Linked DNA regions of Sus scrofa. The protein of the gene in region 1 interacts with the protein of each later gene in a pairwise test. Links are inferred from orthologs where the notes say so. Each region holds a gene or a part of one and is shown in the gene's direction. Other genes may lie near its edges.

Evidence for each region.
Region 2: the proteins of LDOC1 (region 1) and LENG1 interact in binary tests that used the Homo sapiens proteins (3 or more experiments, as listed by UniProt). The two-hybrid records come from large-scale screens. The link is inferred for Sus scrofa from reciprocal best matches to the Homo sapiens genes LDOC1 and LENG1.

The regions. Positions count from the first base shown.
Region 1 is NC_010461.5:115,579,351-115,583,622, forward strand, and holds LDOC1 (protein LDOC1), read left to right. Parts: upstream 1-1,271; 5' UTR 1,272-1,485; coding exon 1,486-1,926; 3' UTR 1,927-3,779; downstream 3,780-4,272. UniProt on the Homo sapiens protein: May have an important role in the development and/or progression of some cancers.
Region 2 is NC_010448.4:55,969,091-55,973,628, forward strand, and holds the start of LENG1 (leukocyte receptor cluster member 1), read left to right. Parts: upstream 1-1,494; 5' UTR 1,495-1,580; coding exon 1,581-1,712; intron 1,713-2,817; coding exon 2,818-2,997; intron 2,998-4,538. Other genes in the region: TMC4 (transmembrane channel-like protein 4), read left to right, coding at 124-254, 362-517, 747-825, 911-979.

The DNA.
Region 1 (4,272 bases):
CAAACGTTAGAGGTTACTGGCAGAGAGTGGGGTGCTCTGATAGATGAGGTAGTTAGGAAAGTCCGCTTTGAAAATGGAGGAAGAGTCAGGCAGTAAAACCAGGAGAACATTCTGAGGCAAAAAAGAAAGTACAAAGATCCTGAGGCCAGAGCCACTCAGTGTGTGTGAGCCTCAGCAAGAAGGACAGTGTGATGACAGCAGAGCAGGAACTGGGACAAGGCAAAGGGAGTGAGGCAGGGCTTGATAGGCCATTACCGAGACTTTGGTTTTTATTTTGAGCGAAGGGGGAAAAACTATTGGAGGGTTTTGAGCAGGAAAGTAAAGAGATCTAATGTTTGTCCTAAAGGATTCCTATATCTACTCTGGAGTATGTATATAATACACACACACACACACACAACTTGAGGAAGAGAAGAGTGGAAGCTAAGTGATGAGCTGCAACAGTCTGTGTGAGAAAGGAGGGCTGGCCTTAGGGTGGTAGTGCTGTTTAGAGATCCCCAGGTAATTAAACTGCTGATATATTTAAAAAGCAAAGCTAAAAAAATATATTGGCCCCAAGGTCCTCACCCTGACTTATTTGTCAACTATTTGAATAATCACATTCAAAGTAGAAAACAAAACTATTTTAAAAACACATGTGTTCATTGTTAAGCAAAGAACAATAACCAGTAGTAGGACATGAAATAGAGTCAAAGATAGGCAGGACTCATGCAAATGGTGATTGGATACTAACTTTTGCAGAACTTTTTACACTTTGCTATTTAAAAGTAATTTTAAACAAAAGGATAGAGGTACACAATATTATTTTACAACTAAAGAAAAACCTCTTTTTAAGTATTACTTTGTCATGAAAGACAGGACTCCTGAACGTCTTTCATAACTCTTAAAGGATGTGACTCCTGCGGTGCAGCCAGAATTGCTAATAGTTCTCTGAGTGAGGGAGATTTAAACACGCAAAGAAATGTGTTAAAACCACATAAATGGAATCTGGTGGCCACAGACCCACCGAGGAACATTGAGTCGTTTGGGTTGAAGGGTGGTTAATCCTTTAAACTTGAGCAGGTTAACCCTCTCTGGGAGATGGATCTTAGCGTTTGCTCGGCCTTGGCTAAGGCCTGGCCCGCATCTAGGGCTGGATCTCCCCCCACTGCCTTTATCCACGGGCCGGGAGAACTGCGAGCCAGCAGCCCGAGACCCTGCCCGCCTCCTTGCCTGGCCACGCCCTCCCTCTGTCCGCTCCACTCTGGCCACGCCCCTCCTTTCTCCAGTGCCCGCCTCCCTCCAAGCGGGCGGCGCCGGCGTGCCGGCCGTCAGAGCCGCTGTGTGGGTGGAGCTTGCGCAGCTGCCGGGACCCCTGCGCGCACCGCCTCTCGCCCCTGGCCGCCGCGCGCCTCCGCGGACACGCACTTCCTGCAAGGCCTCCTTGCTCACCTTAGCCGATCCGAACCGAGCTGAGCCCATTCTTGCTCTTACAAGCTGTTCGCCATGGTGGACGAGCTGGTACTGCTGCTGCACGCGCTCCTGATGCGGCACCGCGCCTTGAGCATCGAGAACAGCCAGCTCATGGAACAGCTGCGGCTGCTGGTGTGCGAGAGGGCCACCCTACTGCGCCAGGTACGTCCGCCGAGCTGCCCGGTGCCCTTCCCCGAAACGTTTAACGGTGAGAGCTCCCGCCTCCCTGAGTTTATCGTGCAGACGGCGTCTTACATGCTCGTCAACGAGAACCGGTTCTGCAACGACGCCATGAAGGTGGCATTCCTAATCAGCCTGCTCACCGGGGAAGCCGAAGAGTGGGTGGTGCCCTACATTGAGATGGATAGCCCCATCCTAGGTGATTACCGGGCCTTCCTCGATGAGATGAAGCAGTGTTTTGGCTGGGATGACGACGAAGAAGACGACGAAGAAGATGAAGAAGCTGATTACTAGGCCGGGAGACCCTCGGGCCTAGGGGGGTGGGCCCTGCACGCCGCCACCACCCCCCGCCCCGCTTCGCTCCTCCCGGAGCCGCGACACTTCCCTCGCTCCCTATCTGCTTCCCTAGTCTTCCTAGTCTTCGCTCTGGTTCTCTTCCTTATTCACCGCTCCCCCCCCCCCCCCCCCCCCCCCGTAGTGTTTGTCTTTGTTCTGGGAATAGTGCTACAGTTACCTGCTGCTGGGGCTGGGGCCTCTCTGAAGTGCGCTGCCTCCCACTCAGGCCAGTCCCAGGGCCCAACCCTGCTAATTTGAACTGTGTTCTGAGCCCCAACTATAGGGCAGACTGTTACAAACTGGTCAGACTACCCACAGCCCTGCCGATTGTCAGGCCTACATCTGCCCAAAGACCGACGCTGCCACCTAACCAACCTCCATCACATTCCAGCGACAGACAGACCAGGCCTTTGGAGACAAGGACCAACCTAGAAGATGCTTTTAGTTGGCTATACCACCTGGGACATTGATTTGGACTGCTCACGCCCACCCCACCCCCCCACGAGGGGCGAATCTTTGCACCTGGTTCGTTCCCTCCTTTCCTAACTCATAGAGTCTTCTCCTGCCTCACCAGGTTGCTGCAGGGGCCCGTTGTGCCTGGCAGCCAAATTATTGACATTTCTCTTATGCACCAGTTTTGCACAACTGTCATTTTTCTTTTAAAACTGAAGCAGTCCCACAGCTGTGTGCATTTGGACAAAAATACTAAAAACAAAAACCAGACAGACAAAAGCAGGTACTCAGCCCAGCTCCTCAATACTACATAGAAAAAGCATTTGCATTCTTTTCAATAAATATCAAGCACTACGGAAAAAAAAGAGCGTCTTTTAATGGTTAAGTGCTATCATTGGCCTTTGCCACTCTCACCCTGACTCCCATTATTCCTACTGATATCAGAGAGCCTAGTTCAATCCCATTATTCTCTACTGTCATGTCTGGGCAATAGAGGACTGCTACTACAGAGCTTTATAGGGAAACTGGTGCTCCCCTCACCAAGGCACTTTTTAAAGCCCTGGTGAAGTGAGTGTCCTCTGGGGCTTCCAGGATGGGATGAATAAGGGGTAGTTGAGTAGATGGCACACCATCCCAAACTGGGACACTCGAGAGAAAAAGGGGGCACTATTACTAATCGGAATGGGACAATAGGCGTACATCAGGGCACATACCATATTCCTGTCTTCCTGAGCTTTTGGGTTCTTTCTCAGCCCTGCCAGGCAAGTGCTGCCTCTTAACTCTTATTCCTTGCAGGGTGCTGTTTGAGTTCAGGCTTCCATAAACAAGGTAGCACATTGTTTCAATACCGATTTTAGATGCTTGAGCTAATGTTAAATCCTGAGTCCTGGGTAAATGCACCCATAAGTGGAGCCAGATTTTAATGTTTCATCCTCCTTGGGCAGATAACCCTTAAGATCCCCACCCATCTGTGTGCCCCAGATTCCTGCCTGTAGAAATCGACAAGATGCCTGGCTATCTCCCATACTAGATCTTGTAATGCTGTCTGAGCTGTGCTGAGATCTTTTTGTGGGCCTGGAGGGCTGGAGGCCCTAAGGGAGTGGGGTGAGTGCTGAGAATAATCTCTACTTTTGTGAGCCCATAACCCCAGGTTAAGTCTTTGAAATGTTAAATCAGGGAAGCCTGATTAGGGGATTTGTGGGGCCTATCGCTGCCAGCCAGGAACTGTCAGGAGGATTTGAGGGGTTCAGAATTCTGATTCTTACATGTATCTGCCCAGATGTCTTCTGTACCATGCCGGGAACCAGCCCTACTTTAGAACCTCTAATTTAGATAATAAAATTCCTTCTTGTTTAAGACCTTTTGATGCTGAGTGTTTTATTTGTACCAATAAACCTTACATTGTGGGTTCAATGAGATACAGGGAACAGGTCTCTTGCTGTTGAGCTGGGCTTCAGTAGGAAGGTGTTAGGAGTGAACAGGAGCAGAATAAGCTCAGCAGAGAGAATGGAAATGAGAGCATGACAAGAGTTCATTTTTACTCTTTGGGATCTGACATGAAGTCAGATAGAAAACCAGTTTACTTGGTGAACAGACAAAGTCTAGAGCAAGAGTCATCTTTTGGACCTAAGAAAGTTGTTTCTGTAGGGTGGGGACAGGGGTAGATAGGACTTAGCAAAGGAGGTTGAGGCCCAAACAGTAGATGTGGGGAAGTGTTGGGCCAGAGCTGAAAGCAGGTAAGGGACCCAGCAGGGCCAAAAACCATTCAAAATAATCAGTGGTCCAGGTAGACTTAATGGAGTTAGAGATACAGTGGGCAAAGAAAGGCAATGCTTGCCCTCATGGTGATTC
Region 2 (4,538 bases), on another chromosome or scaffold:
CCGATGGTGTTAAAAGAACTGGGACTCCAGGATCCTGACTGAGAAGAGGGGGCCAGGGTTCCCGGTGGAGGAGAGTCTGGGGCTCAGACGCCTGTGTCTCACATTCTCTCCTTCCTGCGCCAGCTCACCCTCTTCTCCACCTGCTCCCCGGCCTCCCGCACATTTCGGGCCTCTACTGTGAATTTCTTTTTCCCCCTGGTGCTTCTCCTGGGTCTGGCCATCTCCGCCGTTCCTGTGCTATATGGCATCTTCGTGTAAGTGTGAGAGGCACCTGCCTCTCTTTCCCTCCCTCTTCCCACTTCCCTCCAAGGTTCTGACTTGTGGCCATCCTGGAGCTCTGCCTGTCTGTCTCTGACTTCAGGATCCCACCTTCTAAGCTGTGTGGTCCATTCCGGGGGCAGTTGTCCATCTGGTCCGAGATCCCTAAGTCTATCGGAAGCCTCCCCGAGACTGCCCAGAATTTTCTCTTCTTCCTGGGGACCCAGGCATTTGCTGTGCCCCTTCTGCTGTTATCCAGGTGAGGGCCCCAGACTCCTGCATCCGGGTTTGAACGTGTGATCTGGGGTCCTACTTCCGAGAACGGAGGGGGCTGGGGGCCCAAACTTCTGGGTCTGCGGGAAGAAGGGAACTGGGATACTAGACTTCTTGAGTCTGAAGGAGGTCCGGGCCCCTGGTTTCTAAAAGAGTCTTACGTCGAAGATACACTAAGCGTGTTTGGGGAGTGGCTTTCATTCCGTCTCCTCTAGCATCCTGATGGCATATACTGTGGCCCTGGCTAACTCATATGGACGCCTCATCTCTGAGCTCAAACGCCAGATAGAGACGGTGAGTCAGGCCGGGTCCTTGGCAAGGGGTCCCGGGGAATCTAGAGATCTGTCTCACCTCCACCTCTCTTTACCCTTTACCCCAGGAGGCACAGAATAAAGTCTTCCTGGCACAGCGCGCTGTGGCACTGAGCTCGGCCAACGGAGCTCTTTGACCTTCCCAGCCTGGTTCAGGGTGACGACGTCTCGCTTTCAGACAGAGACCCACCCCCAGATCCTTTGAAGGTCTCGGCCGCGTCGTTTGGAAAATGAAAGAACTGGAGAACATCCCATGCCTTTCCAGCCCTGGGGGTCGCTGCCTCTCCAGTGAACCCCTTTCTTGTATCAATAAACACAACGGAGGCTGCTGAACGCTTTTTGAAACTTGTGTCCGGAAGCCGGGGGCAAGACTTCAGCGAGACAGAAGCCAATCAAATGCGTTGGCCGGGGAGGGTTGGTGTGGAGGGCATTTCCTCGAGAACACCTGGTGGGCGTGTCAGCCAATCAGCGGCTGCGTTCGGCAGCGTCAGGGCGGGGACACTTGTGATGGACTCGGGATCTTCAGGAGAGGCCGTCGCTGGGCGACCGCACGCGCGATGCTCCGCGATGGGAGGTGGGGGTCTCAGCCAATCAGCCTTTGCTACGGACCCGGGGGGGCGTGCCAAGTAGTCTAGGACCAATCCGTGACCGAGGCAGAAACAACAGGGAGGGGCCATCCTCCTGCCAATCGGAAGTGCTAGGAGGCGGGCCTGCCAGTTCGCGGACAGCTACGGCGCCATGAATATCCTACCCAAGAAGAGCTGGCACGTCCGGAACAAGGACAATGTGGCCCGCGTGCGGCGTGACGAGGCCCAAGCCCGGGAGGAAGAGAAAGAGCGTGAGCGGAGGGTGCTTCTCGCTCAGCAAGAGGTAAGCACCGAGCCCGGCCGGGGCTCCGGGGCTGAGCGCGCAGGCTCCTCGGGAGGGACCGGAAGCGGTGCGGCGCGCAGGCGCAGGGCACACCGTGGGGAATTTGGGGCTGGGTGCTTTGGAAGTATCTTCTCCTAGTGCTTTGATTAGCTCTCCTTGAACTCTCGCCGCTCTTGCTCTTCCCCCGCTCCTGTACTTCTCGAGGCCATAGTAGGAGCTCATGAAAAAACGAAGCCCTGAGTAGTTCAAGGAAACCCGGGCTACTTTTCAGTTTGCCTGCGCAAAGTCCCCATTTAGTGAGCGCCTGCTGCAGAACGCTTGACTTGCAAAATATCTCAAGCACCGTTCATTCTTAGAGGAGGCGCTATCATTTCTATTTTGCAGAGGGGTGAGATGCCTTCAGAGAGGAGGCCACAGCGAAATGACAGTGGAACAAGGCAATTCAGTTTTATCGGGCGAGCCCTTTGCCTGCACTGCCGGCCACACAGAAACACCAGAGGCAGTCTTTGTAACTCCTCACCTGTTTGATTTACACCTCACTTCCAGTCCTTTAGCTAATTTGGTGGTCAGCACTGGCTGGGGGATAGTTAGGGCTTTTAAAATTCTCATTTATCACTAGAAATTGCAAACCAACCGGGGATAGTGACTCGAAGCCCAACCTGGAATTCAGATCACCTGTTCTAATACATGTTTTGGTTGCCTTCATAGCGGTTTTTCTGTTTGTTTTTTTTTGGCAGTGCCCACCGCATGTGGGAGTTCCCAGGCCAGGGACTGAACCTGAGCCTTAGCAGCGACTTGAGCTGCTGCAGTGACAAGGCGGGGTCCTTAACCCGCTGCGTCACAAGGGAACTCCATTAATAGCTGTTTTTATTGTGTCACTGGAAATTCGGAATCCCTCTGGTTTTCTGTTTGAAAGGTAGCTTGCAAACCCAGATATTGCCTTATTTCTCCACCTTTTCTCGAAGCTGGGGCAGGTGCCTTTCCTGGCTCCGAGTGCCTCTGCTCCCTTCCTTACAGCCCCCGTCTGTGGTTGGCACTAGATTCACTGTTCCTTGAATCACATCTAGGTTCTGAATATTCTGCCTGTAACTTTCTTTTCCCCCAGGCCCGCACGGAATTCCTGCGGAAGAAAGCTAGGCATCAGAACTCACTGCCTGCGCTTGAAGCAGCAGAAGCAGGAGCCCCAAGGTCTGGCCCTGTGGATCTGTTTCGGGAGCTGCTAGAGGAAGGGAAAGGCTTGAGCAGAGGCAATAAAGAGTACGAAGAAGAGAAGCGACAAGAGAAAGTAAGTTGGTCCTGCCCTCTCCATCAGTCATGGATGGAGCTGGGGCTGGGGGAGCACCTTGCTTTCAGGTGTGACTGAGGGGTATTTAGGGACACAGAAGGAATCATATAGCTAATTTAGAGAACTCTTAAGAGTAATGAGGAAGTCCCTTTGTGGCTCATCAGTTAACGAACCCGACCAGGATCCATGAGGATGTGGGTTCCATCCTTGGCCTCGCTCAGTGGGTTAAGGGTCCGTTGTTGCTGTGAGCTGTAGTCTGGGTCGCAGACGCGGCTTGGATCCCCCATTGCTGCGGCTGTGGCGTAGGCAATGTGGGAAGACCCCTAGCCTGGGAACTTCCATATGCTAAGGGTGCGGCCTTAAAATAAAAAAGAAGAGTACTGAAACATAGCAGTCAAGAGAAGTTGGTTACTGTCGGGGTGCTAAGTACAAACCTGTCAGGTCTCTAACCTGGTGTCCAGATGTATAGATATCTGGGGAGTGTTAAGGAGCTTTGATTTTATTTTTTTTTAAATTTTTAAAATTATAGTTGATTTACAATGTTCTGTCAATTTCTGCTTTTCAGTAAAGTGACCCAGTTAAACATATATACATGTGTGTGTACATATATATATACATTCTTTTTCTCACATTATCCTCCGTCATGTTCCAGCACAAGTGACTAGACATAGTTCCCTGTGCTGTGCGGCAGGATCTCATTCTCTCTCCACTCCCACTCCCTTGGCAACAAGTCTCTTCTCCAAGTCCATGAGTTTGTTTCTTTTCTGTAGAAAGGTTCATTTGTGCCACGTATTAGATTCCAGATATAAGTGATAATGTATGGCATTTGTTTTTCTCTTTCTGATTTACTTCACTTAGTATGAGAGTCTCTTGTTCCATCCATGTTGCTGCAAATAGCATTATTTTGTTCTTTTTTATGGCTGAGTAGTATTCCATTGTGCATATGTGCTACGTCTTCTTCATCCATTGTCTGTGGATGGACATTTAGATTGTTTCCACGTCTTGGCTGTTGTGAATAGTGGTGCAGTGAACATACAGGTGCGTGTGTCTTTTTCAGTGAAAGTTTGTCTGAATATATGCCCAAGAGTGGGATTGCTGGGTCATACCGTACTACTATATCTGGTTTTCTGAGGTACCTCCCTACTGCTTTCCACAGTGGTTGGACTGATTTACGTGTAGGAGGGTACCCCTTTCTCCACACCCTCTCCAGCATTTGTTTGTAGATTTCCTAATTATGGCCATTCTGAACAGTGTGAGGTGGCACCTCAGAGTAGTTTTGATTTGCGTTTTCCTAATAATTAGTGATGCTGAGCATTGTTTCATGTGCCTGTTGGCCATCTGTGTGTCTCCTTTAGAGAAGTTTCTATTCAGGTCTTCTGCCCATTTTTCAGATGGGTTGGGTTTTTTGCTCTAGAGTTGTATGAATTGTTCGAATTATTTTAGAGATTAAGCCCTTGTCAGTTGCATTGTTTGAAACTGCTTTCTCCCATTCTGTAGGTTGTCTTTTTTTTTTTTTTTTTTATGGTTTCCTTTGCTGTGCA